4 linked regions of the Astyanax mexicanus genome follow. The protein of the gene in region 4 interacts with the protein of the main gene of each other region in a pairwise test. Links are inferred from orthologs where the notes say so. Each region holds a gene or a part of one and is shown on either strand. Other genes may lie near its edges. The genes, in order: rfx6, eif4enif1, ncs1a and dtx2.

Region 1 (7,700 bases), about 52 Mb from region 4:
TATTACACGCACCTTGTAAAGTATGGAGTCACACACGCAAAAGATGTCCACGATTACTGGGTTCTCCAACAGAGGCAGGAGATGATCAGGCATGCCTTGCCAAAAATGAAGCAAGAAGTTCTGGATCTGTAATATATTTAATAATAAAATTTTAAGCTTTTAAAAATATTTTGTTTACAGTAAGTTCAAGTTAACTGTTTCTGTAGGTGTTAAAATTTTAGCGTACCTCTTCAAAGTTGACACTGATAGCATTGTCGAGAATGCACTGACAGTGGGTTTTGTACATCATTATCAAAGTGTCCACCTAAACAAGAAACGCATCAACAAAGAAAGTAGCACTTAATTAAAACGGCAAATATACAGGATGAACACATCAAATAAACTATTTTATTCATTAGAACAACAGCAAACAAACCTTTTCCTTTGAAACAGAGTCATCAAGTACTAAATGCTGTGCACTTGGAAATTCTGGTAGTAATGTTCCTGTTTTAGAGCTAAGTGAATATTTCCGTGTGAAGCCCCCCTGTGATTTAGCAAAAGAAGACATGTTTTGAGGAACTAACAGAAATAACAATATTTCATATTTAATTCCTCATTATATTTAAGTAACAATAAACATAACATCAACTATTAAAAATGCCAACCTCATTTTTGAGCTTGCTCCCAGAGAATCTGTTACAATGCATAAAAGAGTCATTAAGTAAAAATAGCAATTATTACATTTTTTTAAAAGTACATTATACTTTTCTATAAAGCATTAATTTACATATTTAAAATTCTAAATCCTAGAATCTCCTGATCTGAGCAAAAACAAGCAGAAATGCATTGTTGGTTGAAGCTTTAAAATTACCTGGTAAGACCTTTTCCTGAATAAACTGAATGATAATAGGAGCTGCTCTCCTTAATCCCTATACCGTAGTAGTGATACCTGGAACAATAAAAAAATACATTTAAACACTGTTCATGACTAAAACTGGTGATCTGGCAAATTAATTAAAAAGTCATTTTTGTATCACTCTCACTCTCTGTGATCTGTCTTTGTCTTACTTTGAATGGCCTCTGGTGCCGAGCCTCCGGGTTGTAAGTAGTGGAAATTTCTGCCGTATAGTCTACAGTAATAAAGAAAGTAAACAATCAGTAAATAATAATAAATGTAAATTTTCTTTTGTTTTTTGCAGTGTACAAAATCTTAAAATCATTTTTCTACTATTTGAAGGAACACTGCTTACTTTGCCGAAAGTGGCGGCACAAGCAGGATCTAGCTTCTCCTTCCGACAGAAGTCCAGGTAATGAGCGTAGAGGATACAGCGAGGCAAGCACACACCTTCACAAACTATATAGTTTTCCTCAAGCCTAATTCATGAAAATGTAAAAAGTACAAAATAGGGCATAAGTTGTTTATGGAAATTGAGGTAAAGTCAATGTAATATTATTGAGTATTGCTTGATAAAACTAACTTGGTGTAACTGGATAAGGATAATGAAATAAGTACCACAATAATGTTAGTTGGGTCTGTTTCTTCTTGTCTTTGATGATTTGACTGATGCTTTTCTTTTCGACACTTTGCTTCAGAGCAATGTTCTTTGAGTATTCAAGGTGGTCTAAGTCATCTTCAGAGGATATGGTTCCATTGCTTTCCTCTGCCTCTGTCAAATAAATGAATAAACAAAGATTGCACTATACTTTCAATGGTCTGGTTAATCAATGCCATTTTTTAAAATACTGCTTTGAAAATGTAATAATTATTTTATCATAAACAACTTTCCTTACTGCTGTCTTTATGGAAAAATAGCTTAATATGCATTAAATGCCATTTTTATAAACTCTTGTTTTATAAACATTGTACCTGAGATTTACAAACATAACAAATTCCAGCATTAGACATTTATTAATTTACCATCATCCACCATAAAATATAATACCATAAAAAAAATATTTTACTGTGGCACAATTATGTATATCATATGAACTGTCGAAAAAAAACTTTCTATATATTTATAACTGACAAAATAAGATCTATTCCACTGTGTATGGACGGTGCTGTTAGACAAATAAACATGCCTCTAATATGTGATCCGATTAAAGCTCTAATCCTGACCAATCTAAAAATATGAAAAAGATAATACTAACCTGATTTAATTCCTGAATCCTCCTCCTCTTCCTCAAACGTTTCTTTGAAAAACATGTTTTTTCTAAGGTCTTGCTGCTCACTGGAGTTTGCTGGGTGGAAATCATCAGCATTACTGTAAGTCCTCTTTGGCTGTGGTGGCTGAAGCTGATGAAACATGTTATTCTCCACAGAACTTCCACTATTCCTTTTCATTGGCATGTTACCAGGTTCATTCAAAAAGATGAGCTGTGGACACACTCAGTCTTCCTCCGTTCCAGATATTTTCAATAAACACTTTAAAAAAGAGACTCCAGTTTGATGCATTGGTCCAGTACTGTAATGGTGCACATCTCAGGTTCTGGAGAAAAAAAATCACTAACACCAAAATGAAACAGTGTACACAAACATCCTTTACACTAATATTCAAACTGAAATTTAGAAAGAATCATTTTGTCCACATCCAAACATCAAGCCGCTGGAATACGTTACACCTTCCTGTCTTAATTAAAGCTGTGCTGTGTCTGAAATAGTACGTCACTGAGGTGAGTGCCTTGGGGGCATTTATCTTATTTACAGAAGACTGGCAGTAGATTCTGTGTATTAATGATTAACCCGAGGGGCCATCGTCTCCATCAAACCTGTTCTGTGGCCTTTCCACTGGACTATAGCCCCATCCAGAGCCTTCATTCTGCAGTGCCTGCTTTCAGCAGGGCTAGGGCAGCAAGATCATGCACATCCTTATATCCTTAGCACTATTTTTTTTTTTTCATCTGAAAGTTTTTACCATATAGATGCACTTTGTATGTTTGTGGTTACTGATTTTATCCCCTTCTACTGTTTTTTTTTTTTTTTTTTTGCATTTAAGGGTCACCACTAGCTTGAGAGTCCACCAAAAAAGATCATATGTGATTAGAAACAGACTACTAAACAGGGTAAGAGAATGACTTTACCAAGCCATGTTGATATCATTGTTTTGCTGAGAATGGCCCACCACTCAAATTACATGTTGTCATTAATGTTGCTATGATGGCCTTTTTCCGTTAATGAATATGGCGTGGGGATGGGGTTATAAATAGTCGAGGAGATGTCCTGTTTGCTTTTTTATTTTACATTATAAGGATTTAAAAATGCAAACAATCCACTTTATTTTTAATTATAGTAGATCCAGTACATAGGAAGACATTCCTATATATATATATATATATATATATATATATATATATATATATATATATATATATATATATATATATATATATATATTTTTTTTTTTTTTTTTTTTTTTTTTACTAGCTACTTGCATTTGGCACACTTCAACTATAAACTGTACTCTAAATGCTAATCTGAATAGAGCAGATTTAGCAGGACAGTGCACAAAATATTAACACAATAATCTGTTACAGACTAACAGGACCTGTCCTACGTGTGTGCTTCTGCTGCTTTTCATTTTTTTTTCCAGATGAAGTCAATCATGCTTACCTTTGCCTTAAATTCATCCTTGCATTGAATGCACACAGCAAGTCAATGGGCAGCTTTCACGTGGGCACCCAGGTAGCAGTAAGGGTTAAGGACCTTGCTCAGGGACCCAACAGTGAAGCTTAGCCAATACAAGTTTTAAACCAACAATCCTTTGCATTTTTAATTAAGCTTTTTTAATTAATCCTACATGTCAAACGCATTGTCTTCTAACAATATAAGTGTGCTTTGTAAGAAAATAAATAATTTTACTTTCCAATTACTGTAAATAGTAAATCTGTTGATCCAGTGCAATACTTAAGTACCAAAATCTTGAATTCTTTAGTACAACCACTTAAGTTCTACTCAAGACACTTTTTTGACAGAGCTCTTGTACTTTCACTCAAGTCTATGTGTCTAGTATTTTATACATGTCTGGTTATCTGGCATAAGGTGTTCATTATTAACAGTCTTGCCAGTATCTATTAGTTTAAGTGATTTTCACATAGAAAAACAAACCATATTTCCAAAATAGCAGTTTAATACATTTTAGTGCTCCTGAAAGTGGCACAAATGTAAATGTTGGAGTTCAGGTTTTTTTTTTAGCTTTTTTTTTTTAGTATTTTCAATTATTGAGCTTCTGTTAAACTGTTAAAAACGTGTATTATAAATATGATATTTATGTTAACGTTACTTCATCACACTTCACCGCACACTGCCCTTTTTTCGCGCCATCCTTGTGGTCCTCGCGCAGCACCGTTACAGCCGCATTCAGGGGGAGTGAGCTGCAGTGTACACGCAGGGAGAAATCCGCGTTCACACTAAAGGTAAACGAAATCAGCGTTAAAAAGCATGAAGTGTATAAAAATGCATCAAATAAAGTTGAGCTGTTCTTGTGAGTGCTTTAAAAGTTACCTTAAAGCCAAACATACGTAGTATTACTAGTTAATAGCTGGCGAACTTCAGTGAGTTTTCTAGAGGTTGCTTAGCTAAGTTAGTTAGCTAACTAAGTTAACCGAGCTAACGCTAGCTGTGTAGGATAAGTAAGTTAGGTTAGTTAAGTTAGTTAGCTAGCAAAAAAAGCCACAACTGTTGCTAGCCAACAACGTTACTAACACTACTCTAGCTACATGAAACATTAAACCACCGTTAGTATTTGTCTGTTTGTTCCCTCAGAAAATTGCCTCTTATTTAGCAACGTAAAGCTAATTAGGTACCTATAGTTTCAGTTCCACCTTAAATAGTTCATCCTTATAGGCCTCACTACATTTCTGGGTCCACCTTAAATGGTAAATAGGCGGAAATTTAAGGTGGAAATGTTAATAAGAAGCCACCCATGTAGCAACAGCAAGCTAGCTAAAATTCCTCTTCCATCTTAAATGGTACAATCAGTCATAGACGGAAATTTAAGGTGGTAATACTAATTAGAAGCCATGTAACGCTAAGTATGTTCACTCAGAGGAAGAAAAAGAGGGAGAGAGAAGGCAGAAATGTAACGTTAAGCGCACAGCTAGAAATCGATTAGTTAATTCCTACGGCGATAAACAATGCAGGTGATTAACATAAGGCAAATAGATTTTATATCTAGCATTCGTTAAAAAACTATGGTGACCAAAAGTAGTAACACTAGCTGGGTTAGTTACCAAGCCAGTGAAATCTTTGTCTGTAGAAACGAGGCAGGTTAGCAGGGCAGTTACCTTGAGTAACCTAGCTAGGACAACTAGCGTTAGCTGCTTAGGTAACGTCGGGTAAATTAGCTGAAATGCTGTTCTGTTGTTAATTGCCTATAGTTAAGTACATATAATTATATATTTAGGTGGAACGTGGTTATAATGCCTTGCAATTTGCTTAAAATGTGAAGTAACACTTAATCAGATCGCTGACAGTGCTGGCGATCCACACGCTGCAAATTCAATCCGATCCATGAACCTAGCTATGTGGTCTATGGTCAGTCGTCCCATTTGTCCAGAACTTTTTTTTAAAACTGGCATTAATAAAAAAATCCACGATTGATCACATAATAGCTAGGGGGTGTAACGGTACAGAAAATTCGCGGTTCATTTTTTTTTCAGTTCATGGCCCTAAAATGTTACATCGAAATATAACTGTAGAAAACATGGTCAGTCTCTCAAATACTAAGCTGCTTGTCCATATATGTTTCAGTGTCAAAACACTCAATTTTCCATCTCCTCTGTCTAATTCCAACAGTTATTTTTCCATGTTTTTAACTGGTGTAGACTGATTTTGACCTGGTCAATTCATGTGACTAGAGTGTGCAACATTCAGTTGTCTATGGGTATTGGCCATCTTTTACTGAAATATGCAATCAGCATTTAGATAATATTTTAGCCGATCATTTGCTTTTTATTTTGGCATGGTTTCTGTAATGTCACTTCGCTTTTCAGTGACAGCCATATTTGTGTGTGCAGATGTTTGGTCAATTGCAAGGAGGTTCATTAGGACTTTGCATGTAAATGGCGTTGAGATGGACTGGAAACAAGTGGACAGGTGAGCGTTTGATTTTGCATGAACTCCATTGCTGTTCACAAATGTAGAGTCAATGTTCAAAAAAATCTTATTTAGATATGCACGGTTATTGTATTTGTTACACCAAATAAAGCTAAAAAGGCAACAACATACTGTTTTTTTTAAACTTTGTCATTGTACTAATACAGGCTTGTACAGTACAACAAAATACTGTTAGTCTTTAGTGCAGCATAGGTAAGATGTACAAGGATGCAGTGCCAAAAACAGGGTGCAAAGACAATTCAATTCAATTCAATTTTATTTATATAGCGCTTTTTACAACAAAGGTTGTCACAAAGCCGCTTTACTGGAAAAACAGGTCCACGCCTCTTATGAGCAGCACCACAGAGATGCCAATTTTATGGTGACACAGTGGCAAGGAAAAACTCCCTTTAAGAGGAAGAAACCTTGGAAGGAACCAAGACTCAGTCCGAGGAACCCATCCTACTCGGGTTGACCCGCTCAGTACAAACAAACAACAAACAAATAACAGAACAAAAACAGTACAGAGAATTAATGTGAACTATGGCTAATATAACAGGTACTAATTTATGAATATAAGAATGTGATGGGCACAAACTATAGAGCTATGGCTAATACAGAAACAGATACTGAGTGTGTTAATGGTAATAAGTGCAGGGTTGCAGAGCCGGAGAACAACACAGCAGGCAGTGGAGAGCCAGGCTGGGAACATCAGGAACAGGGCATCTCCATACATGTAAAAGAGATAGATAGAGAAAACAGAAAGGAAAGGAAGAGAAAAAAAAGCAGAAGTTAGAAGGGTTGTGAAATAATTCTGATGAGTAGAAGGACAGGGCTGATTCCTGAAAGCTGGAACCACAGACGGACACATCCAGGAAGACCGGCCGGCCAGGCGTCTCAGCACATGTGAGAAAGATAGAGAGAGAGAACAGAGAGGGGAGGGAAGAAAAAGGGGTTAGAATGGTTTTAGAAAACTCTGCTGGAGTGGGATGGGCACTGGTAGCAGCAGCTCAGGACATGGGGAGAGAAAGAGAAAGCAGATGATTAGGACAGGGTTTATATTTGCTGGATAAGCTTTAAGAGGAAGAAAATTGTAATGAGACATTACTCAAAAGCTTGAGCAAATAGAAATGTTTTGAGTCTAGATTTAAAGATTGAGAGTGTGTCTGAGTCCCGTATATTAATAGGGAGGCTATTCCAAAGTTGGGGAGCTTTATAAAAGAACGCTCTTCCTCCTGCATAGTTTTTTCTAATACGCGGGACAAATAACAGGCCAGCGTCTTGGGAGCGGAGTGAACGTGGCGGATTGTAAGGAGTAAGGAGTTCCTGTAGATAATGCGGGGCCAGACCATTGAGGGATTTATACGTCAGGAGAAGTATTTTATAATCTATACGAAATCTAACAGGTAGCCAATGTAGGGATGAAAGAATAGGTGTAATGTGATCGAACTTTCTAGCTCTGGTAAGCACTCTTGCGGCTGCATTCTGAACTAGCTGGAGTTTATGGAGTAATTTATGTGGACTTCCAGCCAACAACGCGTTGCAGTAGTCCAGCCAGTAGGTACAAAAATACAAATACATGTATGTATATGTGCAAATGTGTCATCTACAGTGGTATGAAAAGTTT
Region 2 (7,675 bases), on a different chromosome or scaffold from region 4:
AATATTGAGCTTATAGCCAAAGTGCAAAAATACAAAATCAGTAATACGGCTATGCCCTGCACAATCCTTAAACCGAAATAGACCAAGTACAATAACGTCATTAACAATGACTTTCCTCTACTCTAATATAATTTAACATGGTTTAAAAATATAAAATAATTTCTAAACAAACGAAATATTTAATATTGAGCTTATAGCCCAAGTGCAAAAATACAAAATCAGTAATATGCCCTGCACAATCCTTTAACCGAAATAGACCAAGTACAGTTTACAATGACTGTCCTCTAATATAATTAACAATGTTTAAGAATATAAAATACTTCCTGAACAAACGTTTTTTTTGTTTGTTTTTTTAAGCAAATAGCCTAAGTGTGAAAACACAAACAGCAATTTACTGGGCTGGCTTGCGCAGCGGAGAAACCGTGCAGCAGCAGCCTCCTAGCCTGCTTACGCAGCGGATAAGCCGCGGTGTGGGGCAGCAGAAATTCCGGGATGAAAACACAAAGAAATCTGGGCTAAAAACACAGAAAAAATATGGGGTGAAAACACAAAAATCCGGGATAAAAACACCAAAAATCCGGGGTGAATATGTCTCGTCGGTCAGAGCAAATTGAACATTTTTCAGTGGATTAAAGGGGCCGTGATTTGCTTTTTTTTTATTTTATTTTTTTTACCTCTTTTTTAAAAACGAATATTCGAATATTCGCTTTGAATCAGTGCCGAATATCCGGAGCTCAAAAAACGCTATTCGGGCCAGCCCTAGTCACAATATAATTATATAATCAGTTGTGCAGCTTTCACAATAGTGCAGCATAAAGTACTGAACCTGGCTTGTGATGTAGTGACTCTTCCAAATGTCTTCTGGATCCAGAGGCGAAGAAACTTTCGTGCAAGGTGTCTAAATAAAAAGCATAAAGAATTATTAGTTTACCATAGCCGATCACTCATCTATAAAAATACAAATAATTATATCGGTATGTAAGCACACATTCTCATTCAATGTTTTAGATCAATATTAAAGACATGGACACTATTAAGGAACACAAATAGAATTAAGTAGTAAATAATAGAGTTTGTCCTCCACAATCCCATGATCAAAACCTCATCAACTGAGATGGTGATTTTGGATGAGCTGGAGCTTCACAGCGTGAAGGAAAAGCAGCAACTATTGTTTAGCACCTCCAAGAACTTCTTCAAAACACTGAGAAAACTATTCCAGGTGACTCTCCCTCACGAAGACACTGAGAATATACATACTATATGCTTATAGTGTGCAAATCTGCAATCAAATCTGAACGTGGTACTTAAAAAATCTTAAGTATAAAAACTATTCTGTTTTTTATTAACACTTTTGTTTACAAAATAATTATGCATGTGTTTTATAAAATGTATATTAAAAGAAAATGGAATAGTGTTACAATAACATAAATGTGAACATATATTTTTTTCTGTTTTTTACTTGCATTTAGTACTTGTAAAACACAAGTTTGGTTGCATGTAGGGGTTTATGAGTGGTGTCTAACCGTATCCTGAGCTCTTTAAGTCGTCCACCTCTATTCCATGTGTATCCCACCCGGTATGTGATCTTTCTGATGGAAGTGTGCTGCCTCTGCTTCTTCCCAAAAGAACCTGGTTTCCCAGATTGTTGTCCTGTTGTGTGCATAATCCCTGGTTTTAAAAAGAAAAACACAAAGATCCTAAACAATATTAATTACAATATAACCATATTTAAGTAATATATCAAAACTCAACGCTCCTAAAGTGTCCTTATTCACTCATTTGACATGAATTACATTCTTTCAGCTTTAACAACAAGAAATCATAAACTTTGTTATATACAGTCATGTTCTATAGGTTACAGCAGTTGACTAGTTAGCTAGCTAGTTAACTGTTACCTTAACTAGGTTAACTAACCTACCTTGTCCTACAACCACTGTACAACTGCAGCTGAGCGATTTGTGAAGATTTCGCATTTAAATTACAGCGTAAATCGGATGTAAATAACTGTGTGTAGTTTACTTATATATTTGATAACTATTTTGTATACAGAACTAACAGACACCCATTCTCACCTCTGAGTTACTCATCAACAACAAACTGTAACTGCCGCGTAGAAACAACTTCCGCTGGTGGATTTCAAAGTAAAAGCGCTGCTGAGCTTATTTCAATACGTTATAAATCTATATTACTCCAATAAAATTAACCTTAGTTCTATTTTTTATAAATATAATATAAAACAATGATAAGTAAATTAAGCAGCCCACTCGGTTTTTTTTTTACTATGATAAAAAGAGATCATTTGACTATAAATATTTTAAGGTTGAAACCCATATGTGACCTAAATGGCACAACTAAAATTTAATTACCTGTATTTTAATATTTTGTCGTATATGTCGTGCCATAAATAATTATATGGAATATAAAACATTTTATTCAATATTTTAAAAGGTTAAATTGTTGGAACAACGCTGCTGAAGCTAAAAACACTAACACTTTTACAGGGAGTGAGTTTTATCTCCAGAACTAACCCAACACTTCTACAGTCTGTAAATAAAGTCACATGATCACACATTAACACACGCTGTCCTGTAGTGATGCTCTCAGGATGTTCAGTATATGTCACTTATGGACGTCATAGTTTTTTTTGTTTTAATTATTATGTTAATAATAATACTACTACTACAAACAATAATATTAATATAGCAACATAATAATGTTATTGTTGTTATTATTATTATTATTATTATTATTATTATTATTATTATTATTATTATTATTATTATTATTATTATTACTGTTGTTGTTGTCAGAAATAAAAATAAAGAACTCTACAAAAAGAGGAGCGCTGATTAAAAATAGGAGGCCAGTCTATTGCCTGACAAATATTAGATGTCCCACTCTGGGGCTGCACTTACCAATTATTGCGAGGTAAAGTTATATCTAATATATAAAAGTGTTTAATTGACTTCAATTAATAAAAAAATATTCAAAAACAAGATGTGTGTGTATTTTCTATTGTAACGAAGGCGGCAGTGGTCACTATATAATCCTTGATTGGGGCTTCAATCAGAGCCTGTAGTGATCTGGAGAAATTCGCCGCTGAACGTCGGGAGCCCCGACACACACAGAGTGTGTATGTATGCGTGTGAGAGTTTATCAGCTATAAACTACACAGAGCTTATCGGAGTCGCGGTTAGTCTGTTCCGCGGCTTTTAACTCATTATTCTGAGAGAAACCGCCGCGGACTGTCTGTGTTTTTTTAAGCGCTTTAAGTCGTTTTTTGTTGAGCAGTGAGTGGAAAATCATTTAGCGAAGTTAGCTAGCATATTAGCTGGATTAGCCCACTAGCTTTGTGCTGTTTTTTTTCGAAAGCTTCCGAGCAAAGATACCAAACCGGGAAAGCTATTGAGAAAGATAACTTAGCTAGCCTAGTTAGGTTGTAGCTGTTTCAACTAATGTTAGCTATGCAGGCAGTTATGTGCTAGAAGGACAGGTTAATACTTTAATACTGTGTCGATACTTGGATACTTGGAACGCTAGCTAACTGACGGTGTCCATTTGTTGAGCGTTTAGCCAACTTGGCTGGGAGCTCCTGTAGCTACTAACGCAGCGCTAGGCTGCTAAACGCTGTTTTCTAACGCTAAACCTAGATAGCCCGGTATCGTAAAAGAAACATTTTATGTTTCTCTTATCGTTTATATTAACCAGCTAACTGAAGATACAACCCGTCTAATTGCCTAAAACAATCCAGCTAGCTCGACAGCCCGTTTAAAAGTTAGATAGATAGCTTAGTTAGCTAGCTAGTTAGCTAGCTAACGCTAGCTAGCTAGCTAACTGTAGCATCCGAGGAGGAAGGGAGAAGCCTGGGTATATTTTTCTAAGTACAGGTAAGTTGAATAACTCGAGTAAAAGTCAATAAACTAGTGAAATATTCTTTGTTTCTGTTTGGTGTCAAATCCAAGCTAACTAACCTGGTACATTTGCTCGTTTTAATATATGTTAGCTAATTGTTGATGGCTAGCTACTAGCTGATTTCTGGACGGTGAAACACAGGTGCTTGTGTCGATTTATTTAACGCTATATATTTTATGTAGCAACCTTTTAACGTGAATACATATACAGAAGAGATTTTAGTCGCAATAACGTTATATTGTATAAGTATTTGACAGTTACGCACAAGCTATTGATTAGCTAACGCCAGCTAATTAAGTGTTATAGTTAGCTAACTACATTATTCTGGCCTGGCCTTCACAGGAAAGTAACTTAATTGTAATTCTGAAACATTTTTATCTGTGACCCTAATAAAGTATTTAACACTGGTACTCAATACTTTAAACTCAGAAAACCACATTCGCATTATTAGGAACATTATTGGCTACCTCAGTTTCGCGTAGACCCGCTGTTCACACGTCACTGTTCCAGTTCTCTTTTGTTTAATGAAGATACTAACTGTACCCGTATGGTGATCAGATTTGGTGGTAGCTGCCGTTTCTAAATTATATCTTGTTTAAGATTTTCTTTCTCTCCTCTTTGTCATAACTGACTAATGCCCATTGTTTTTTAGTAGGTGTTTGGACTGTCTAAAGAAGCTATACTCTGGTTTGGCTTCTTGCTTCAGTCATGGAGAAAGATGCCTGTATAGAGGATCAGGAAAATGGCAATATCACTGGGCACACAGTGAAGGATTCTGTAGTAACCTCTGCCTACCGATACACCAAGGTCAGGATTATAGTATGCTGCTTAATCTCCAGTTGTGTCTAGGGCTGCACAATATTTGGTGGGGGGAAAAATATAACTTTTTTTTCTGTTGCAATATGTGTCTTCCAGGAATTTAGGAATTTTCACCATAATAAATGATGCTCTCTGATAGAAATAGAGCTGTTATTGAAAAAGAGATGCACAAGTTTTTTTATTGTGCAGCCCTAGTTTTGTCCAGTTATACATGCAACATGTATTCTGTTACATAAGTAATGCAAGTTTAAGAGTCTAATAGTCTAAAATGCTGGTATTTATTATGTAACTAGGGGTCAGCTATTGGAACATTATTGCAATACATGTTGTATAATAAATAATATTGTAACATTTATTTTTGAAAAATTATTACTATTACTAAAACTATTATTAAATATTATTATAAAACTATTATTAATTCCTAAATAAGATTTATTTTATCATTTTTTTTAACAGGAAGAGCTGTTGGAAATCAAAGAGTTACCAATCTCTAACGAAAGACCAGAGTGTCTATCGGAGAAATATGACAGGTAATCTTTTATGTGATCTTGGTACAGTGAGGAATTTAGTTATATTTTCACACATTAAAATCTATTAATCAACTTATTTAGTGTTTCTTTGATTCCTGTGTATACAATGCTTAGTTTCCAGATTATTCTGAAATGAGTGGCTAATCTAAAGTACTAATTTGTTGTTTAATTCTATAGCGATGGTGTGTGGGATCCTGAAAAGTGGCATGCTTCACTGTACCCGTCAGAGCGAAACTCCCCAGTAGATGGATACAAGAGAGACTTTGCTGAAGATAGGGTGTCTTTGAAACGCAGAATTGCAGGTAATTTTTCCACTATGGGACTGCTGCACTCTTACTAATCTGAATATTAATGACATTTCTTTAAGGATAAACTTTAATGTTAAACTTATGTTTTATATGAATCTTTCCTTCTAGACCCAAGGGAGCGTTTAAAAGAGGATGATTTGGAGGTGGTTCTTAGTCCACAGCGCCGTAGTTTTGGAGGTGGCTGCCAAGTGGCACCTACCTCTTTGGTCCGGCGTCCTGTCAGCCCTCTGGAGAACAAGGAGAACGAGTCACTCCGTTTGGGTGGTACACGACGTATTGGAAGTGGCCGCATTATGGCGACACGTGGGTTTGAGAGGGACTCGCGGGTGGACAAGGAACGAGAGAGGGAACGAGACTTTAAGGACAAGAGATTTAGGGTATTAAATTTAGTTTCAAGTACTAAGGCTTTTTCAGTGACTAGGCGTTTTAAAGTAACAAGTGGCTAATTTTAGTGCAAAGATTGTGGGTGGCTGCTTATACAGTGCATCTGGAAAGTATTCACAGCGCTTCACTTTTTTCACATTTTGTTATGTTGCAGCCTTATTCCAAATTGTTTTATATTAATCTCTTAATTCAAAAATCTACAAAAATACCCCATTATGGCCATGTAAAAAAGTTTTCTTGAGATTTATGAAAAATTTATCACATTTACGTAAGTATTCACAGCCTTCGCCATGAAGCTCAAAATTGAGCTCAGGTGCATTGTTTCCACTGATCATCCTTGAGATGTTTCTACAGCTTAAATGGAGTCCACCTGTGGTAAATCCAGTTGATTGGACATGATTTGGAAAGGCACACACCTGTCTATATAAGGTCACACAGTTGACTGCATGTCAGAGCGCAAACACCAAGCATGAAGTCAAAGGAATTGTCTGTAGACCTCTGCGACAAAATTGTCTCGAGGCACAAATCTGGGGAAGGATACAGAAACATTTCTGCTGCTTTGAAGGTCCCAATGAGCAAAGTGGTCTCCATCATTCGTAAATGGAAGAAGTTTGGAACCACCAGGACTCCTTCCTAGAGCTGGCCGGCCGTCTAAATTGAGTGATCGGGGGAGAAGGGCCTTGGTCAGGGATGTGACCAAGAACCCGATGGTCACTCTGTCAGAGCTCCAGCATTCCTCTGTGGAGAGAGGGGAACCTTGCAGAAGGACAACCATCTCTGCAGCAATCTACCAATCAGGCCTGTATGGCAGAGTGGCCAGGCGAAAGCCACTCCTTAGCAGTGTTGGGAGTAACGGCGCTAAAACTAACGCCGTTACTTTTTTTCAGTAACGAGTAATCTAACTAATTACTCTGACTGTAACTATAACGCCGTTACCATTTCCGACACCCCGTTACTGCACGTTACTTTAGCCACACTTTTTTTTTACTTCGCTTTGCCCTGGTTAACCCCTCCTCTGTCCGGTGAACTTGAGCTTCTGGCCGCTGTGCCTGTGGTTTGGCGTGGTGAAGTGAGGCACAATTGTGACAATTTGCGTGCTCTAATTAATTCAGTGATTGCCTTGGACAGCCCAAGTTCCGAATTAAGGACGTTAAACTCTTTTTAGCTGCTCCGGTTTTTGTGGTGCTGCTGCTTTCTCTTTTAGAGAAAGCTCCTATTGGCTCCTATTTTTTATTTTATATAAAGCTCTGATGTGATAATCACAATGTTGCTAAGTAACCAATTATTATTGTTCACTACAGCGAACGAAATGGCGAAAACTGAAAGTGAAAAAAACATTTGTGTTAACTGAATCTAATAAAAAGGTAATTAAAAGGAAAAAACATAACTATCTCGAACTGTATTTTGTGTTTATAAAACTAACTAAAACGAACTGAAATTACAGATAGAATACCCTCATTTTCGTGTTTAATTTATTTATAAGCGCTGTTGTACAGCGGAGTTGTACAGCGGGCGGTGTTGTGCCGAGCGCGCGGCACCTCGTGGTCCTTTAGTTCTTGTGTAAAGCGCTCTCGCTAGCAAGCCCACCCTAAAAACTTACTGAACAGAAAAAATAAAAACAAAATAAAATTAAACTATAATAATAATGAAAAATGTAATCACGTAGCTCTGGGCGCACGTGAACGCCTCCGCGTTTGACTTTCAGCATTGTGTGTAGCTGTT
Region 3 (7,957 bases), about 10 Mb from region 4:
CCATCACCCTAAACACTGCAGCTCCCCTGGGCTGTGTTTCTATTCTCTGTTGTAACACTGCCTCACCCATGACTGCGTGCAGATCACAGCAATCAAATCAGGAAATTTGCTGATAATGTAACAGCTGTAGCGCTTCAGCAATGATCAGACAGCCTAGAGAGAAGAGGTGAGAGAGCTGATGCAAGGACAACAGACTATCTCTGAATGTCAACAAGAAAAAGCGAGACAAGAGAGGGATGCAAATGCCACATAGCACTTTACTATTAAATATATATATTTCAATATTTTAATGTTGATGTCTTTTGATGTATACAGCATTTCCAATTGTTTGTGGACATTCATTCTAATGAATACATGCAGTTATTTTAAACTGCAACCACTGAGACACAAATGTGCAAATGGGCACATACACAGCTTGTCCAGTTACTATAGGACTATAGATAGTAAAACACTTATAGTGATCTATGGAATGATGGTGCTCTATGTAGTATTTTTGGGATGAGTTGGTGATGATGTGGCGTAGTCACACTCTTTATTTAGGATTCTTCTGACTTCATAGCATTTATTGTTCATTATTCACATCATTGCTCCAAATTCTAGTAGAAAGTCTTCCCAGAAAGCAGGATAATATACATGATAAACTTTTAAAACTCTTAAAGGCTTGGTTTTGTAAGAAGTATCCCAATGACTTCGTCTACATATTGTAGAAATGTTATGTGCTTTGAGTCAAAGAGATACAGTTGCCAAGATACAGTTGAACAAGCCTATTTACAATCTTGTTATTTTGCCTCAAAATAAAACATGCTGATTTTCCCTCACGATGGGTTCCTAAAAATGATTTGCTCTTATTTTTTTGGCTTATTTATGAACTCCCAGGAGCCAGTTGTTAGGTGTTGTACTTGGTAACAACTTAGTATTAGCCATGCTAGTTTTTTTAATGAACAACACAACAGTGTTTGAAGTTCACAGTATGTAACATCCATGTACTCAACTCTCATAATTAAACAGGTAAATGCAGTGACTCATTTGTTCTTTCATTTGTTTTTCGCTGCTGGTAATAAGTGTTTTGCTGTCACCAGTGGTGAGTAATTGCTGAATGTGAGAAATGTTATAAAGCTGAAAAAAATTCTGTGATTATGCAAATGTCAAAAGTGAGTAACCTGCAAGCAGGGAAGGTCTCACTGACACACTATTTGTGTCAAATCAGCTGCTGGACATGCTGGATACTAGAGGCAATTGGAACCTACTAAAAAAGTGTCATTTATGTAGATATGGCATTGAGTCACAGAGGATGTGTTTATGCTGTTATGCAGTATTATATTTGGAAAAAGCAATGAAAACTTTCTCTAGGATTTTTATTACCTGTTACCAGGGGTAACAGGTACGCTCACTTACAAAAAATAACACAACATGGATTGCTGCAAATCTCTGCATTCAGTAATGTCTCGTGCACAACAAGGCTAGACATGCCTCTTTTTTTGACCTTTTGCCCATTAACAGAAAGGGGCATGTCATTGGACTGAGAGAAGCATGATAGTCATTTCGACTAATTGCCCCCATTCAGACTGTCCATCAGTCAACCATTGTCAGCATAATTTGTAGTTTTTTTTTTATCAAGAAACAAAAACCCAGACAGCTACAGAATGGAAATATATAATCTTTAGTGATAAGTCCATATTTCCTTCTGGAAATTTAAGAGAGGAGGGGTTCAAGTGTTCAATTCTCTAAATGCTGTGGAGTGACACATTGCCCCAACTGCTGGTGTGATGATCTTGGGAGCCATTGCATATGACAGTCAGTCACCCCCAACTAGTGATATGAGGGACACTAACAGCTCAGTGATATGTGCTTTGAATCTTGTGGTCACATGTGTTGTCTCTCATGGTAGGGCTTCCAACTGACATTTTTTAGAAGGATAATGCTCACCCACACACAGCAAGGGTTTCATGGCAATGTCTCTGCCAGAATGCAACACTCCATTTTTTATAGTAAGTGTAATTTATGAATAGTAACAGTCCATTAATGATCCTTTAAGAAACCATTTTTGGTAACAGGTTTAGTGGACAGTCTATATTTACCAACAGTAACAAATTGCCATTTGCTTGTTAGGAATAGATGTTCTGTTTCTTAACCGCCAACAAAAAATAAAGTAATGGGAAGAATGTCTTAGCAACATATTATACAGAAGAGAATATTTTAATGTCCAATGTTTGTTCAAAACCTAAAGGCCTTTTAGATATTGTTTTCCAGGAGTATTGTACTAAAGGATGTCAAATTATATTGTATTGTTATGTCTGCTTATGACTTATTATTACCAATGTCCTGTCAGTGTGACCTTTATGAAGTTTTCAGTGACACATTCGGGGCATGCTGTAGAGGCGATTGGATGATAGGGTAAAAGGAAAAAACTTCCATTGGAGGGAAAAGGGGACATATCAGGAGATGCAGCCTACTTTTAAAGTGGCCTGAGCAAGATCTATTCTAATCTAGGGTAGCCATAGTCTGCCAACTCAATATGGTGTGTTCTCTTAGGGAATGGGGGGAGTGGGGGTGGGGGGTATGGAGTGACACAGCAGGTGATGCTGCTGGCAAAAGACTGCAGGCTGCTTCTGGGGCAGCATGGCGCTAACTCAGCACTATCCATCACTGCTTCACTTTTTCTGCCCCTTTTTTAAAGCATCTCCCTTTTGTAAGCAAAGTCTCTGTCTGCCTTAGTCTTTCTTTCAGTGACTATCGTATGCTTTTTGTCTGTCCATCTCTGTCTTTTTCCTTTCTGCTTATCTATCCTTCTATCTCTATGCATCTCTGTCTTTTTTCTCTCTATTGCATCCCATGGGAAACAAAATGATCCAATTTTGTTTTCTAGTGTAGACCCCACAAATTTCACAGGATTATCTAAGAGGTAAACAGACAGTTGAAATATGAATGCAGTCATGCTTAAAGGAAGTGGTACTGGTACATACTGGCAGATATGTTTTATAAATGATGAGACTGGTCACTGATTGAAATATAATTAAGATTTTCTAGAGTATGTTTACAGAGTTTACAAGTCCCAACTTTTAACACAAAAAGCCAATTTGCTATAGGAACTGGGTAGCTGCCCACTTTTAACACTGGTCATTGCCAACAATATATGTAACCCTCACCGATAAGTGCTCATCAAACAGTGTGATCAGGCTACGTCAGGATGTTCATGCTGGTGGACCAGTATGTTCTTGCTGATCATATTGGTAAACCAGCATGATCAGGCCGGTCATGCTTGTCAATCAGCGTAATCATGATGGTCATGATCATGCAACTTCCTTGGTAATGCATGTCAACCAGTGGTCATACTAATTGACCAGTGTGTTCAGCTCTGGTCCTGCTGGATAACAAACATGTTATCATGATGACAGTTCTAATTAAGAGTCAACCAACCAACCAGTCAACCAACGTAGTAGTCAAGCTGGTTATATTGGTTAATTATGGCCTACCAATGTGGTCTTGTCATTCTGGTCTTCTCATGTTGGTCATGCAAATACCTTGTTAATGCTCATCAACCAGTGTGTTCAGCCTGGCTATGCAGAGGTCCCACATGTCACAGAAGTCTTCCGCATTTTAATTGGAAATTGTATACAACATCCTGAAAATCATTAGTGTGGACAAACACAGTAAGAAAGTGACAAATAAAACACTCTCTTCATACTTAGTCGACCAAAAAATTTGACTTAAGTGGCAGGGCTTTGCTGATTCAGTTAACACGCACAGGAGAGATAGACATAAACACAGTGCAGCACTATAAAAATAAATAAATCTGTGGTCAGAGCAAAGGTGGTCAGCCTTGAGCAGGTCAGGCTTTCTTTTTTATTATCGTTGTTTTGTAACAGATTTTTTTAAGTTTTAATCTTTACTTGAGGAATTTAAATGACCACAAGTTCAATTCATGTTTACCTCATATTAATACATTTTAGAGATTGTTTTAATGTTAAACTTGTTTTAGTTGTATTATTAATAGTATACAGCTCTGAAAAAAAATAAGACACTTAAAAAGGATGAGTTTTTTTTATTTTACCTGAAAATACAATCAAGAGAAAGATGGATGATCACAAGCCATCAAACCAAGCTGAACTGCTTGAATTTCTGCACCAGGAGTGGCATGAAGTTATCCAAAAGACTGATGAAGGAGAACATACCAAGATGCATGAAAACTGTGATTAAAAAACAGGGTTATTCCACCAAATACTGATATTGATTTCTGAACTTTTTACTTTATGAATATGAACTTGTTTTTCTTTGCATTATTTGAGGTCTGAAATCTCTGCATCTTTTTTGTTTTTTTCAGCCATTTCTCATTTTCTGCAAATGAATGCTCTAAATGACAATATTTTTGGGGGGAATTTGAGAGAAATGTTGTCTGTAGTTTATAGAATAAAACACTAACGTTCATTTTACCCACAGAGAAACTGATTCAGAAACTGAATCACTTCTTCTCTGACCACTGAGAAGTGGTCTCTTAATTTTTTCCAGAGATGTATATACTATTATTTTAAAATGTAAAATTATGGTCAGAGAAAGGGGGCGCGGCTTAACGAGCGAGGGCGGGGTCTGTGTTGTCAGGGACGACGGTGCCAACACAACGCGTGGCGTTCAGTCATACCCACCAGCACCCTCCCACACACACACGCTCTGTCTCTCTTTCATTCACACACACACACACACACACACACACACACACACACACACACACATTCTCCCTCGCACACACAGACCCCTTTGCTCAGCCAGTGTTTGGCCTCACAGCGGACCGAGGTTTCCCCGGCTCCAGCGGGCAGGACCCCCGGACAGGAGCGCGTTCCGCGGGCTCGGGCTGTGACTCCGCCGCTGCTGGAGGACTTGAGGAGAGGCGAAGGGAAATAAGGGACAGGAGCGGAGAGATTACGGGCTTTCCCGCTCTCTTTTCCTCCAGCCTGGGGGAAGAGAACCGCGTTTAACCCCGCATTTCTCTCTCAGTCCTTCTTCCTTTCGCTGTTTTCACTCCTTTTTTTCCTTCTCTTTTTCGTTTTCCGCGCTAAATGTGAGCGGGAAAAGAGTGGCAGTGGGGGCGGGGGACACATTCGGGGAGAACCGGGAGGAGAGATGGGCAAATCCAACAGCAAACTCAAGCCTGAGGTGGTGGAGGAGCTGACCAGAAAGACCTACTGTGAGTACTGCCCTGGCACGCATGGGCAAGAAGTCACACACACACACACACACACACACACACACACACACACACACACACACACACACACACACTTACATACTTACAGTCAATTGGCTTGTTATGGGTCATGCTCTGTATTTCTATATATTCTGAATGCATTTCAATTTATTTTATTGTGTAAATCTGATGACGAAGTAACGTGTAACATGTTAATTGAGGTATTGGTTAAGTGAGGTGTATGTTAAGTGGGCTACAGATTAACTGAGGTAAATGTTAATTACATTTTATGTTGAGTAAAGTACATATTAAGTGAGGTCTATGTTAAATGAGGTTACTGCAAATTCTCTGTTAAATGAAGTCTAGCTTAAATGAGGTAATTATGTGTATTTTAAGTGAGGTATGTTTTAAGTGATGCATAGGTTAGGTGAGATTTACACTGCCAGGCCAAAAAGTCTCCACCTGGATGTAAGTAAGTAAATGATGTGGGGTTGTTGCTGCAGTTGGTCAGGTCTAGGTTCAGCAACAGTATGTGCTGAAAGAATAAGGCCAGCTGACTACCTGAATATACTGAATATAGAGCAGGTTATTCCATCAATGGATTTGTTCTTCCCTGATGGCACGAGCATATTCCAAGATGACAATGTCAGAATTTATGGGGCTGGAATTGTGAACGAGTGCTTAAGGGAGCATGAGATCATCATTTTTACACGGTCAGACTCTACCATCATCAATGCAAGAACTTGGTGAAAAATTAATTCAACACTGCATTGAGATCTTGTGACAATGCAGAAGTTTATCAAAATCTCATAGTGAATGTGTGCAGCAATCAAAGCTAAAGGTGGTCCAACCAAATATTAGAGTGTGTGACCTTTATTTTGGTAGTGGCTTTTTTTTTGGTCAGGCAGTGTATTTTAGATGAGGAACTGTTTAAATGAGGTGCGTGTTACGTGGGCTAAAGGTTGAGGTAAATGTTAATTAAATTGTGTATTAAGTGAGGTATATATTAAGTAAGGTGTATGGTAAGTGAGGTACAGGTTAACTGAGGTAAATGTAAGTGAGGTACAGATTAAGTGAGACATAAGTTAAGTGAGGTGCATGTTAAGGGAGGTGCACGTTAAGTGATGTACAGATTAATGAGGTATATGTTCAGTGAGGTATATGTTCAGTGATGTGCATGTTAAGTGAGGTAAATATTAAACAATGTGTATGTTGAGTCAAGTACAGTTCAAATGAGGTATATGTTAAGTGCGGTATGGTAAGGTAAAGATTAAGTGAGGTGCATGTGAAGTGCTGTACATGTTAAGTGAGATAAATATTAATTGATGTATGAGTCATGTACAGATCAAGTGAGGTAAATATTAAATGCTGTGTATGTTGAGTCGTGCAGTTCAAGTGAGGTACATGTTAAGTGAGATATGGATTAAGTAAAATATGAATTAGGTGAAATATAAGTAACCTGTAGTACAGATTAAGTGAGGTAAATGTTAAGAGAATTGTTCAATAATTTAAATGTTTTTTAAGCCTGCGCACACTACTAATTGATTGTAATAATAGCCAACAAAATGACATATCCAGGGCATGCTTGCATCCTTCCTTGTTACATTAGAACAGAAAAATAAGATAATAAGATTGTTAGTTTTTTCCAAATAAACATTAGTTTGTAGAGTGCCTGAAACCATTCTTTGGTTGCCTTTCTGACATTTTCACATATTAAGGATGCCTTCATTGAATTCGCTCTTTTGAGGCATGACTATCTCTCCTTGAGAAAATGCTGCTTTTCCACTACTGAGCTCTGTGTTGTGCTGCAGTTCTCCTCCATGACAGAGAAAACCAATAGCCCAACATCACAGTGGATCACAGAGAGACGCACTTCGATTGGGTTAAATGATTCAAGTGAGATTAGACTGCCAGGGCTTGATAATGGGTAATGATCCAGCAATGGAACAGGTGGAAACAGTACACAGCTGGAGGACATAAAGCAAATGTGCCAATTGATTTGACAATTGCCTTTTCTGCAGGGAACAGGGTTTTAACCAGATTGTGTTAAGGCCTGTTCACTGTTTCCACAAAACAAATCAGCAAAACTCAGAAAGTCAGCATAAGGAGTGTCTGATAAACAGCAGAAGAAGAAAAAAGTCTAAACTTAATAAAAATTGTAGACATTTTAGAGTCTAGTGAGAGCCTAGCATGTGTTTGATTAACATAGAAGATTAAAGAATTACGGTAGATACTAAATATACAAAAATATACTTGTATTTTCAGTTGGCATGGAGTGATTCCAATATATTTCTGATACGTAAAGGCACATGAAGTGACCAAATATAAAAGGGGTAATTGACACATTTACAGATTAAGAAATAGTTCAAAAAAACACTTATATGCACACTGTGCACTTTTTTTTGTTTATATCAGTGTATTGTAGTGCGTCAGATGATTGGTCTGGCATAGGAAGTAACAAGCCTGTATTCTGGCAAGGCAAGCAAGTACAACACACTTTACTTATCAAAAACCATGGACAAGCCTCCTAACACTACATTCTGTCACTCTGGATAAGAACATCAGCCAAATGCCATAAATACAGATACAGAAAGGAAAGTTTTTGAGACTGGTGTCTTAGCTACAAGCCCTCCAATGTGGCTTTAACTTTAATAAACAGTGGCAATAGCCATGCATGTCAAAATGGAGTTTAATAGAGTTTTAAACACACCTTGTTGCTTATGTTAGCCATGATGTCAGCACAGCCTCTACAGTACATCTTAACTATTTCAAAGGGGC
Region 4 (7,504 bases):
ATTTAAGTGAATGGAAATTACAACACACTCCCTAATTTAACTGAGTTGAAGTAATGGTATCGTTTGAAAATACCTAACAATAACCTCAGCTGAGATTGAACTTTACATTACATTTCAATGCATTAGCATTTTTTATGTTTAAAAACTTGACACTTAGCAACATATAATTTGCTCATTATTACTTTAAATAGACTAAATTGGACTAATTTTACTAGACAATAACAATTGTCACCTGCCATACATGCTGCATCCAATAAACAAACTTGAAACAAACTTCTTAAGTCTTGAGAGAGTTATGAAGCACTACTTATAGATTTTTGTTAAACATTCAGTGGTGTACAAGAAACAGTGATGAGCCAACAGATAAATGTATCAACCCTGTTAGTCAGCAAATTCTTGATGGCAGTGGAAACAATATGGATAAAAGACAAGGAAAAATGTAACCGTTACTAATAGTCTATGTTACAGTGTTTAATGAACAGCATAGTCTTTTGCATGATGTATGTGTGATTATATGAGGTAGTGGTTAACACACTCCCCACAAGGGTAAATAACTAAAATGTGCAGAACAGCGGTCCCATGACCAAGCCTGAGAACCATCATCAATAATGATTTTAAGCCCTTTAACCTTCATCTTACCACAACTTTAATATTGATTTTGTTATACAGCTCTGGAAAGAAATTAAGAGACCACTTCATTTTCTGAATAAGTTTCTCAGTTTGCTATTTATAGGTATATGTTTGAGTAAAATGAACATTGTTGTTTTATTCTATAAACTACGGACAATATTTCTCCCAAATTCCAAATAAAAATATTGTCATTTAGAGCATTTATTTGCAGACATGGGACATGAGACATGGCTGAAATAACAAAAAAAGATACCTCAAACAATGCAAAGAAACCAGTTTTAAGAGTTCAAAAATCTATATTTGATGGAATTTATTTTTTTTATTTGCAGTTTGATGCATCTTGGTATGTTCTCCTAGACCTGTCTTACACACTGCTTTTGGATAACCTTATGCCACTGGTGCAAAAATACAAGCAGTTCAGCTTGGTTTGATGGCTTGTGATCATCCATCTTCCTCTTGATTATATTTCAGAGGTTTTCAATTTGGTAAAATCAAAGAACTTGTCATTTTAAGTGGTCTCTTATTTGTCCAGAGCTGTAGTTTGCAAGACAGGGGAAAAATAGTCTTTAGCCACCCAACACCTGATCCAACAAGTGAGCTTAGTAGAAACCTATTATTGAGTTAAACGTGGCTTGTTAAAGCCGATGAACCAGTGAACCAGTAAAATAAACAGGGCAGTGGGTCTCAAGGACCAGTGGTAAAGAAACACTGCTTTAGACGTTCTCCAAAGTCTTAGAGTTGGGGACCACTAGTTTAAATTAACAAACATGACAACACAAACACACAGAACCACATTGTATGTTTGCGAGCTCCTGACTTACCAGTGTCTTGCCGAAACTGTTTTAGGCTCGGGATGTCGATGATATAGGCTGCCAGGCTGGGGTCGGTCTGGCCTAGGGAGATGCTAGTGGCGGCGGGCCCACCTGCCCTGGCCCCCCGCTGCTGCTGAAGGCATTGCTCGATGTAGCAGCTCACCTGGCCACTGTAAGGCCGCCAATAACCTAGGTCGTCCTGCCATTCCCACACCACCACCATGGGCTGCGCCTGGCCGGGTATACCAGAGGCCGAGGCGGTGGAGGAGGAGGAGAAGAGCGACGGCCCGTTCCTGGAGCCATTCACGCCGGAGGCAGAAAAGCCAGAAGCCGTGGCCATCCTAGTTAGTTAGTTAGTTAGTTAGCTAACCTGGCTTGCTAGGAGGACCTCGGCGTACTTATTTATTTAGTTAACTTAATAGCTAGGTTAGCTGAAACACACACACATACACAAATGGTGGTGTCACTTGCTAGCTAGATAACTAACCCCAGCGACAGCGAGCTAGCCTAAACTGCACTAGGGTAACCTAGCTAGCCAGCTAACTAACTAAGCTAAGCTACATAGACTGCTGCCTCTGAGCTAACTAGCTAGGTTAGCTAGTTAGTTAACTGAAAACACACACACAAATGTTAGTGTCACTTGCTAGCTAATCCCTGCGATAGCAAGCTAGCATAAACTACAGCTAAGCAGTACATTGACTAACTGTTAAACTAGGTTAACTAACTAATTACATAAACTGCTGCTGCTGTTGGTTAGGTAGCTAGTAAATACTTGTCAACCAAACGTATTAAGTCTCTCCATAGGGGCTGACTGGCGTACAAGCTAAGCTAACTAGCTAGCTAGCTACCAAGTTCGACGAATTGAACTGATAACCTAGCTACCGCTAACTGCCTAACTAAAACCGGGCTCGTTCGTCCGGTTGCTAAGCAAAACCAACAACTAGCTTAGCGAGCTACAAACAAATAACTTAAATTAACCCTAGCTATTTAACTTAAGCTGAAACGAGTCGTGCGAGTCTGCATCTTCATCCGCCAGCTGATAGCTAGCTACTTAGCTAGCATAGCTATCTGTCTAGCTTCGGCTGTCTAGCTTACAGCTCGTTACTACGGCTCCGATGTTGTGAAGCTAACGCTAAGCCATTTTTAAAGCTCCAGGAGGCCGAACAGCGAATAAACGGTTAAAACTAAGCTAAGCCAGGATGCAGTAAAACAAACCACGTCCTTGTCTCTGGTAGTGTCGTCTTTATCGTCTTCTAAAACGCCTTAATTCTTCCACTGAACGAAGCCCCCCTCTCACCCATCCGGCTGCTCGCCCTGCCGTCTCTGTGCAGAGTCCAGCGACCAAACACAACAAACCAACGGAAACCAAAACCACCAGCCAACCGCAGGGTCCCCTCCACTGCTCTCATCACAGAAAACGACACAGTAAACTGGATGGAATTCAGCTTAACCCGTAAAACAGTTACCTGTTACTACGTGTCCAGTATTTGTTTGATGCATTGAGCTATTTAGTGTAAAGCTGTATGAATGAGTATAAATGTATGAGTCCGTTATTTGAGCTTTGAAAAATATTGTAGCTAAGAAAGTAGAGCGTTAATACAATTAAGAGTCAGTTTGTTTATATAATATTTTTAAAGGCACTCATGTTCAGCTTCTATTAAAGCTATAAATAAATCAAGATTAAATAAATGTATCAAAATATCTATTAATAACAAAAACTATCAGATTTTTACATTTTGGTTTCTCAATTCAAACGCTGCAAGACTTTTATTTTGAAACATTATCCTGACAGTTTTTGTGTCTGACAAAAAAATACTCATCACATTTGCATTTATTAAATGTAAAATAAATTAAATCGAATCAAATAATGGTCCTACAAATCTAGAAACAGTGTTATTTAAAAAAGAAAAAAAAATCCAACATATAGCTATATAACTTATGTTAACTTTATCTCAGATGTACAGCAGCTTGGAGTGTTTTGCTACCAAGTCTGTTTTCTAGATGACAGATAATTCTACAGATAGATGATAAACATTTGTAAACTATATCTTTTTTTATGTCTTTTTAGCTGAAGTAGTCTCTAGTTTGATACAGTACTTTGTGTAGAGAATGTACAGAATGTTCTTTCATGTGTTTCTTAGTCTTAACCAGCAGGTGGAGACAGATGAATGATTTTAATGGACAGGATGCAAATACAAATGCATGAGTATATCTGCAGTTTACCATAATCCTTAAAATGACCTTAAATTAAAGTAAATATTTTAAGCACTGAGAGGCAAAAACAAATCTGTTAAATAAATAAAGCGTAGCTTGTATTATACCATCGAACCATGAAAGCACTACAACACTCAAAAGTAATGAACGCAAGGCAACACATTTTATTTGAAAGGCCTAAATGGCATTAAGGTACAGCATATAAATACTGGTAATTCCAGAGACAGTCCTTACAGAATAACATTATACCATTCTTTCCTTTACATACAATACATTCATGATGTTGTCTCCATCAAATTTTATCTTACTTGTCCTCCACGTTCTATGAACGTCGGAGCGACTTACACCACTACAATAATGATAAAGTCTTTCATTGGAATATAAGTTAGTGCTATTGTGTTAGGATGCTCCACTGTAGGACCATGAACCCCTGAAGCGAAAAGAAGAAGAAGAAGAAGAAGAAAAAAAATAAAATAAAAAACGGAATATATCAGTAGCTAACTGTTTTAGTGTTATCAGTCATGGCATTCAGCACTTGATGCATTGTGCCGATTTGTTTACATTCCCTGCATATACATGTTTCTTTACTTTTATTTAAATAAATAAATAAATAATAATACAAACATTTAGCTAGGCATAAGAACCAGTTACTACGAGAGTAGTACGCATGTGTACGTCCTCAGCACCAGTCGAGGTTTTGCATCCTATGGATAATGAATCTTGTCTGGGAATAATGTTTCCCAACAGAATCCATCACTTGTGTCCTCAGTGTGGGTGTCAGTCAACCATTATTGTTTCAAAGGCCTTTAAAAAGAAGGCAACCCTACACTGGCAGTCACTTTGAATAGCTCAAATGAGCTTGATAATGGTTTTTGATGTGTTTCCATGTGTTTCAGGGGATCTATCACTTCTCTCACTTAAAGTAATACTTAAACAAAAAATCTCCTTTACAACTGATCTGAATCTTGTTAAACCACAAAATGCTTGGTAGCCCAGTTGTGCTTCTTTAGTTTAGAACTGGAACTATGAGGTTTACATTGCTAACCTAAAACAGGGAAAATCAATATTCACCCACAATTTTCCAATAAAAATGCACGCTCACACACGTCGCTCAACCCCACATATAAATGGAATTTCCTGCCAGCAAGTTATTCACCTTATTCAAGCGTTAAAACGATATGTTCCTCATATATAGAAATGTTTTAGAATTTCTTTTTTCCAGATTTTTTAAATGTGTTGTAACAGACAAATATTATAAGCTCTTATGTGTAACTGAGCATTTGCTTATGACTGCCAGTGTATGATGCAAAGCATTGTTCACCAAACATAAAAAAATAAAATAAAAATAAAACAAAATGAAAACACTCCTTTTACAAGCAGCCTCTCCAGAAAAATAAAGCACTGACAAACTGGGAAGTAACGATTCCAGGTTACTGCACAGCAAATTCACGTCTCAGCACTTGCCGTCCTGAAACTGTAATGAGAAACTCCTTGTACTGTTTGTCGTCACGCTCAAAGAGTTTGTGATTGCCAGCATACACAAAGGTCCCCCGTCACACTGCGAGATCAACCACAGCACTCCAAAAACAGCTGATTTTTATAACGGATATCAGTCTGACCACGTCCTCCCCGCAGGATTCCTCTTCCTCTTCTGAGGGGCTTTGAGGTGGTCCACTAGTATTTTACCTTTCCTGGAACTTGGACATTCACTCCGCTGTAGTCCACCATGTACATGGGCCATTGCTACAGGAAGAGAACAACAGAGTATCAGACACTTAAACAAAAATCTAACTAGTTTCATATAATTAATGAATAAATAAATCCATATACATCAACATTTTATGTTAAACATTTTATTTAGAGGGCTGAAATTAGCCAGCACAATGATCTTACCTGTGCCATTGTACTCAAGCCAAGCTTACTTGTTAATTCTGTCCATATACAGAAGTAGCTAGCTGCTTTGCAATAAATAGCACTAAATGCTATGCATATTTTTGATCCAATCATGTAGTTTCACCTATAAGGTGTTATACTGATTGTGTGGAACTACAGGTACAATAATAATAATAATATAAAAAATAAAATGTTACTGATACTTAGAGCATGTAACTCTTTGAAGGAAGGTGATGGAGAAAATCTGGTGGGTGAACTACTAACATCACTGACTTATAATGTAGAATTAAATATTCTGGTACAAGCAGGGCTGTTTACTGGCTGTTTTCCATACCATCACTGGAATCTGGTTGGCTGGAGCAGCAGGGTCGGCTCCTGAGGGAGCGGTCGCTTGACTGCTTTCCAGGACCCGCTTGCGTTTACGTCTATTGACTGACACTTCCTTCCCTTCTGCAGGAAAATGAGCAAAATAACATAGCATGAATTTAAAGTTTTGTGCAATGGTTTGTTGATTTTTGAAGTGAAAACAAAAAGGATAGAGATATAAATAGGATCTATAGAGAATCTGTTAAGTGAACAATTACATTTGTAAAGAAAAATAATAATTACATGCAATTTGACTAGGTGCATCCAAAAACAAACAAGGCTGTATACAGGAGGGATTCCAATATTTGATAAATAATCAAATCAAGTAAGGTAAACCTACCTGTATTGCTGGTCTGGGGACAAAGCTGTACAAAAGGCCTAAACAGAAAAAAGTTTTTTTTTAGATGTATGAAATGTATCAAATGTACTACACACATGCTTTCACCTAAACAAGACATTAAAGCAGCTTAGTCCAATAAGTACTGTATAGTGTAGTAGCAAAAACAGATGATTTTCCCAAATGTTTGGCAACTGTTTAAAATGAACGACAAAAACATAATTAAGGACACCTTTCAATACACTTTTAATAATAATAAAAAAAAAAACAATCAATAAAAAACAAATATAACCATTGTTGATAAAGTTATTCCTTTAATTTATTTTTTAGAAATTAACCTATTCATAAAACATAATATGTAGAGTATTTCTGTTCAAACTACTGGCCAAACCAAAACCAATTGAATTAAATGTAAATGTAGTTGTTTTTATGTTATATTTGTATATTTATTGTTTTTATACAAAGTGATCATGATCATATGGCAAAACATTAGTATGAAACTTTATAGCAGTGTGGAGGACTTGTTACCCAACCCAGTCCCTTCTAGCTGTCTCTCAGTCAGAAGTCTGAATTAGGGACGATATCATTATGATATAATTATTTTAATATTAACTGTATAAATAATAAATTTTTTGGTATATTGCATCTTTACATACAAACACTGAAAAACTACATATTGCACTATGAAGATCACATGAAATGCAGCACATTTAGAATAAAAATCTTAAATTGAATTGTGCATCAGAATTTTTTTTGTATGGATCATGATATAATATTGCTATTGCCCACATAATCCTTGCTTCTAAACATTATCCAAATAGCTTAAACAATTGCTGACTTACTGTAATGGGGTTTTGATATTGATGGTGATGTCATCTCGAGCCTGAAGGATCTTCTCTAATCGAACTATGTCATAGGTGTTGGGGTTCCTGAAGTGGATATCATCTGGAAGTCCACAAACCTCCAGTGATTCCGGACTGGCCCGAATCAGCTTGTATGGAACAACAACAGATCGATCCAGGCCTAGAGCTTCTCCTGAATACAAGATGATGGAAGTAATGGAATAAATGGGACAGGAACTTGCAACTTTCTGATGAAAAGGCCAATGCTTAGACAGTTGCATCATACTAGAGGTCATAATAAAGATTAGGGGTACACTGGGCACTTCACAATATGTTGCCCACGATAACGATGATATCACAATACTGTGCGATTCTGCAATATTTGGTATATAGTAACACAATTCCCTACG

The links.
Region 1: the proteins of dtx2 (region 4) and rfx6 interact in binary tests that used the Homo sapiens proteins (3 or more experiments, as listed by UniProt). The two-hybrid records come from large-scale screens. The link is inferred for Astyanax mexicanus from reciprocal best matches to the Homo sapiens genes DTX2 and RFX6.
Region 2: the proteins of dtx2 (region 4) and eif4enif1 interact in binary tests that used the Homo sapiens proteins (3 or more experiments, as listed by UniProt). The two-hybrid records come from large-scale screens. The link is inferred for Astyanax mexicanus from reciprocal best matches to the Homo sapiens genes DTX2 and EIF4ENIF1.
Region 3: the proteins of dtx2 (region 4) and ncs1a interact in binary tests that used the Homo sapiens proteins (3 or more experiments, as listed by UniProt). The two-hybrid records come from large-scale screens. The link is inferred for Astyanax mexicanus from reciprocal best matches to the Homo sapiens genes DTX2 and NCS1.

Annotation. Positions count from the first base shown.
Region 1 is NC_064408.1:80,253,569-80,261,268, reverse strand, and holds the start of rfx6 (DNA-binding protein RFX6), read right to left. Parts: upstream 3,226-7,700; 5' UTR 2,330-3,225; coding exon 2,131-2,329; intron 1,647-2,130; coding exon 1,493-1,646; intron 1,354-1,492; coding exon 1,230-1,353; intron 1,110-1,229; coding exon 1,048-1,109; intron 929-1,047; coding exon 851-928; intron 673-850; coding exon 645-672; intron 524-644; coding exon 416-523; intron 305-415; coding exon 227-304; intron 127-226; coding exon 13-126; intron 1-12. Other genes in the region: tdrd15 (tudor domain-containing protein 15), read left to right, coding at 6,051-6,073. UniProt on the Homo sapiens protein: Transcription factor required to direct islet cell differentiation during endocrine pancreas development. Specifically required for the differentiation of 4 of the 5 islet cell types and for the production of insulin.
Region 2 is NC_064412.1:16,243,057-16,250,731, reverse strand, and holds the start of eif4enif1 (eukaryotic translation initiation factor 4E transporter), read left to right. Parts: upstream 1-4,586; 5' UTR 4,587-4,620; coding exon 4,621-4,719; intron 4,720-5,187; coding exon 5,188-5,261; intron 5,262-5,438; coding exon 5,439-5,563; intron 5,564-5,677; coding exon 5,678-5,946; intron 5,947-7,675. UniProt on the Homo sapiens protein: EIF4E-binding protein that regulates translation and stability of mRNAs in processing bodies (P-bodies). Plays a key role in P-bodies to coordinate the storage of translationally inactive mRNAs in the cytoplasm and prevent their degradation.
Region 3 is NC_064408.1:17,896,423-17,904,379, forward strand, and holds the start of ncs1a (neuronal calcium sensor 1a), read left to right. Parts: upstream 1-4,602; 5' UTR 4,603-5,115; coding exon 5,116-5,179; intron 5,180-7,957. UniProt on the Homo sapiens protein: Neuronal calcium sensor, regulator of G protein-coupled receptor phosphorylation in a calcium dependent manner. Directly regulates GRK1 (RHOK), but not GRK2 to GRK5. Can substitute for calmodulin. Stimulates PI4KB kinase activity.
Region 4 is NC_064408.1:27,942,822-27,950,325, reverse strand, and holds the start of dtx2 (probable E3 ubiquitin-protein ligase DTX2), read right to left. Parts: upstream 3,001-7,504; 5' UTR 1,783-3,000; coding exon 1,452-1,782; intron 1-1,451. Other genes in the region: gtf2ird1 (general transcription factor II-I repeat domain-containing protein 1), read right to left, coding at 5,331-5,399, 5,884-5,999, 6,256-6,293, 7,095-7,287. UniProt on the Homo sapiens protein: Regulator of Notch signaling, a signaling pathway involved in cell-cell communications that regulates a broad spectrum of cell-fate determinations.